2 linked regions of the Saccharomyces cerevisiae S288C genome follow. Each later gene encodes a partner of the first gene's protein in a complex. Each region holds a gene or a part of one and is shown in the gene's direction. Other genes may lie near its edges.

Evidence for each region. The genes of interacting proteins can lie anywhere in the genome.
Region 2: SMX2 (region 1) and SMX3 share a complex: the UniProt entries of both Saccharomyces cerevisiae proteins name them as parts of the sm core complex.

What each region holds. Positions count from the first base shown.
Region 1 is NC_001138.5:101,977-104,506, forward strand, and holds SMX2 (mRNA splicing protein SMX2), read left to right. Parts: upstream 1-1,722; coding exon 1,723-1,956; downstream 1,957-2,530. Other genes in the region: LPD1 (dihydrolipoyl dehydrogenase), read right to left, coding at 1-1,151; GNA1 (glucosamine 6-phosphate N-acetyltransferase), read right to left, coding at 2,007-2,486. UniProt on the Saccharomyces cerevisiae protein: Plays a role in pre-mRNA splicing as a core component of the spliceosomal U1, U2, U4 and U5 small nuclear ribonucleoproteins (snRNPs), the building blocks of the spliceosome.
Region 2 is NC_001148.4:898,410-900,954, forward strand, and holds SMX3 (mRNA splicing protein SMX3), read left to right. Parts: upstream 1-1,784; coding exon 1,785-2,045; downstream 2,046-2,545. Other genes in the region: GTPase-activating protein SEC23, read right to left, coding at 1-1,258; DPM1 (dolichyl-phosphate beta-D-mannosyltransferase), read left to right, coding at 2,346-2,545. UniProt on the Saccharomyces cerevisiae protein: Plays a role in pre-mRNA splicing as a core component of the spliceosomal U1, U2, U4 and U5 small nuclear ribonucleoproteins (snRNPs), the building blocks of the spliceosome.

The sequences.
Region 1 (2,530 bases):
ATGACCGAAGGAATGTTGTTATAGTTGACATGACCGTGACCAGTTTTCAACATTTCGACAGCTGCAATACCTTCCTCTTCGGCTTTGTGAGCCAGCATTGGACCAAATGTAACATCTCCTACCACTTTAATGTGTGGGAACTTGGAATTAAATTGGTCATCAATGACTAGGCGTCCCCTTTTGTCTACTTCTAATCCAATCTTTTCAGCCCCTAAGCCAGCAATGTAAGGTCTTCTACCAACAGCAACCAGCAAAACTTCAGCTTCCAAATTTTCTTGCTTATTCGTTTTAGTATCTTCTACAACAATTTCGACGACGTTCTTGTCGTCGTTTCTCTTTGCAGAAATAACTTTGGTGCTTAATTTGAAGTCCAAACCTTGCTTTTTCAAGAACTTTTGGGTGGCTTTGGCAACCTCGCCGTCCATAGATGCACCAATTTGAGGTTGAAATTCTACTACAGTAACCTTGGAGCCTAATCTAGAGTAAACTGAACCCATTTCCAATCCGATGATTCCTCCACCAATGATGGTTAATCTTTTGGGAATTTCCTTTAACGAAAGAGCACCTGTTGAAGAGACAATTTTTTCCTCATCTATTTCAATACCGGGGAAGGGTGTAACTTCAGAGCCCGTGGCGACTATGATGTTCTTAACATCTAGTATGTGGTCTTCCTTGACAGTGCCTTCCAACCCATCAACGGGAGTTACTCTGATCTTCGTTTCGTCTTCGAATGAACCATTACCTTTATAATAGGTGACCTTATTTTTCTTGAACAGAAGCTCAATACCTCCAGTTAATTGCTTAACAGCGTCATCCTTAGCCTTTTGGAAGTTTGCTACGTTAATTTTGATATCACCGTTGACGTCAATACCTCTCTTTTGCGCTTCCGTATGCATTTGGTGGAATAAATGAGAATTATTTAGAAGTGCTTTGGAGGGGATACATCCAACGTTAAGACAGGTACCGCCTAATTTGCCTCTTTTTTCTACACATGCAGTGTTAAATCCCAATTGAGCAGCTTTGATAGCAGCCACGTAACCAGCAGGGCCACCACCGATGATGACTACATCATGTGACTTGTTAATGGTCAATGTCCTGACTGTGGACGAAAAGGCACGCTTATTATTTAGGAGTGATCTGATTCTTAACATTGTGAACTGTTAGTATGTTCTTTGATGGTACGACAGAGACAATCGAACAAAACCGTATATATATAAATATACGTTATATGTATATATATATCTATATATATTCGAGGTGAGTCAAAGGGTACGAATTATCATCAAATTGTTTATTAGCATTATAATACACTAAGTTTCCATTAAGTTGCTCCGCGGAGACTTCTCGCCAATGAGGGAACAGCCGTTCGAGATGATAAAGTATTCTAAAAACGAGTCATCATTAAAAACGATTCACGTGATATTCACGTGCATAAACCATTAGTAAGTATATATTTTTAGTGGGATATATGAGGGTACATTGCATCATGACTATTCGTGGTAGTCACGCATACGTTTGTCAGTGGCATTGTTCGAGTATTCCTCTGTTCTTCATTTCCCTTTTTTCCTATAGCCTCGCCTACGCTCTTTCACGTTTGTGCTGATAGAAACAATGTGGTAAGAAAAATTAAATCTCTAAAGGTGCAATGAATGTATAAGAAAGTACAACGCATATAGAGTATCCGGCATAGGACAGGATTACGCAAACACACGCACAGATACAATGGTTTCTACCCCTGAACTGAAGAAATATATGGACAAGAAGATATTGCTGAATATAAATGGATCTAGGAAAGTGGCAGGAATTTTGCGAGGCTACGATATTTTCTTAAACGTCGTTCTTGATGATGCAATGGAGATAAATGGTGAAGACCCTGCCAATAACCACCAGCTAGGCTTGCAGACCGTCATTAGGGGCAACTCCATAATATCCCTAGAGGCTCTAGATGCCATATAAAATTATATATATATATATATATGTCGACCTCTATGTACTATACAGCAATACTATTTTCTAATTTGCATTTCCACGCCTGCGTTGCTAAACCCACATTTTTCATAGAATTTGACATTTTTCTCATCGCAATCTAAAATAATCTTATAACAACCGTAGTCAAAGCCGATAGTTACCAATTGATCAATCAAGAGCTTGCCCAAACCTTGGCCCTGATACTTGGAGTTTACTGCAATGTCCTCGATGTGGCCACATAGCCCCAGTTCATGAATGATCTTTCTTTCGATGATGATATTCCCCGTAGCGGCAACCGTCTCGGTGCGCTTGTCCACAATCACCATGGGGTTATATTGCATTATTTTTTTATCTTCGTTATCATTCCATACTGTGGCTTCATTCCAGTATTTTATGAGTTTGCTGAAGGATTCGGGGGTAATAGTGCCCACGGTGGTCAAAACCTTTAGCGTCTCAGTGACCTGTTCCAAATCCCCCTCTTCCATTCGCCTTATATAAAATCCATCGGGTAAGCTCATTATTTTATGTTGATATCCAGCTTCCGTTCGTCAACTATTCTCTC
Region 2 (2,545 bases), on another chromosome or scaffold:
GCCCAATCAAACCTTGTACCTTCAAGTCTTTACTTGTCTTGACTGCCATATTACCATTGAAAGCCATCTTCAAATACCCTTCTTCATCCTTGGCAAACAATCTCAAGTATGATTGCTTAAAAATCGCGGTAGAGAAGGCATCGGTTAGCAACAACACACCTCCAGTAGAGTCGGTCAACTGTTTCATTTCAGACATACCGATTTGATCGTAACAACCGGCAAAAATATCAACAGTGTGTCCATTGGCGGCAACTCTTTGTGCAATCTGGTTGTAAAACTTACAGGCCTTCTTGTAATGTTGCGCGTGATCAGAATCGATGTCGTGGTGGGATCTTAAGGGATCTTTTAACTCTGAGTTAACAATCAAACCTGGGGCCACGGTGCCTGGACCGGAGGCGAAAAGAATGATTCTTGCTGGGATGTTCTTATAGCAGCCCTGTAAAAGCAAAGATGCAATGTTCAAAGCGGAACCTGTGGCCCTTAATGGCCTATGACCCGCTGGAACAGACCATTGGTCTGGAGACAGATTTTCCAGTAATTGATTCAGTTTGAACTCGACCTGTTCCAAGGGCAGGAAGAACCTATTCAAAGAGAAGGGCGTAACTTTGTTCATGGCGTTCGGTAGATGAGATGCAGCACCGCCGGGGCCGGTAGGCTTTTGGCCGGTCAACATTTCCGTCAACGCTTCGAGCTGGTACTCCCTGTCTCCTCTGAACACGTTGCACCTGTCAATAGTTTCGCTGGACAGATCGTGCAATTGAACAACGTTTCCGTAAGTGATCAACCCAATCAGCGCGTTGGGAGGTAATAGAGACAAAGAAGTGATGATAGACTCCTTTAGCGAATCGAGGTTCTCGGTTTCCGAAGTCAAATCCACAACAAAGAAGAAAATGGGAGGAACGGTAACGGGCTTATTGGTGATGTACTCAATGGTGGTGGACTGTAACTCTAGCGGCATATTCTCCTGTGACAAGTTGGTGTACTGTGGAGGTAAATGGTTCCTGGAGTTACAGATGGGACAACTCCAGGACGAATTGCGCGGATCAATCACACAGTAAGGATTTAGAATCGACTTACAGTGTGGACCGGAACACACAACTGGATTGTATGGGGCAACGTTCAATTCGTCATACTCCTTCAAAGGTGTGTACAAACAGCCCACAGGGACGACGTTGCTGTTAGCGTCGCTTCTAGTAGAGGGAAACACGTTCCAGGTGAAACGGACCCCGTTGATGTCTTCATTAGTCTCGAAGTCCATGGCTAGAAAAGAGGAAGGGGAGGCAGGCGACAGACAGATAAACACTGGCTTCAGTTAATTGTGTGTCTTGCTGAACGTGGAAAGATCACAACAAGTATCTTTTTTTCTTTTTTCAAACGTGTTTTTCTTTTATTCTTGCTAGAACTTTCCTCCTTTGTAACAAACGAGAGGCGGCGGGCTAGTCGTCGCAAGCGACAAATCTCAACTGACAGTAAATAACGGTGATAAAACAAAATTAGCGCAATCTCTCAAACTACTGAGGACAACCAACTTGAATTGCACTCTTCCAAGTTGTAGCATGGCTTGGGGGGTGTGTGATCCCATCCTGTATTATGGCAAAGCAGGCAAAACAACCGCTCTGCCGTCCGGGTAACTTTTCTTGTTCCACCTCTTTTCCCCAACATATATGAACATGAGATGGTAAGAGCAAGAAACAACGGTTCTATGAGCAACGCAAAAACAGCACAGCACACACAGCACCGCGTACTATACCACACCACACACTACGTCACAACACAACAAGACAATGAGCGAGAGCAGTGATATCAGCGCGATGCAGCCGGTGAACCCGAAGCCGTTCCTCAAAGGCCTGGTCAACCATCGTGTAGGCGTCAAGCTTAAGTTCAACAGCACCGAATATAGAGGTACGCTCGTGTCCACGGACAACTACTTTAACCTGCAGCTGAACGAAGCAGAAGAGTTTGTTGCGGGTGTCTCGCACGGCACCCTGGGCGAGATATTCATCCGCTGCAATAACGTGCTGTACATCAGGGAGCTGCCGAACTAAGACGACTGTGCTCATCTCCCTTACATACCAGTATATTTACATACGCCCTCTACTGTAATACAATATCATTCTATAGCACTCGCATCGCGTATTTTTTTTTTATTTTCTTGCTTTATATTGTTCTATTTTTCTTCCTTATTCCTGCCTCTGGATTTCCCTCGCATGACAAATAGCGTGGAAAAATAAAGGATTTCCAGTATTTGAAAAATTTTCAGTATTCTTACGTGTTCCTAACTCATATAGACCGCTATTGTAATAACGCTATCGCTTCAATTACACACAAACATACACGCACCCACAATGAGCATCGAATACTCTGTTATCGTTCCCGCTTACCATGAAAAGCTGAACATCAAACCCTTAACAACCAGATTGTTTGCCGGCATGAGCCCTGAAATGGCCAAGAAGACCGAGTTGATCTTTGTCGATGACAACTCACAGGATGGCTCCGTTGAGGAGGTGGACGCCCTAGCTCACCAAGGCTACAACGTCCGCATCAT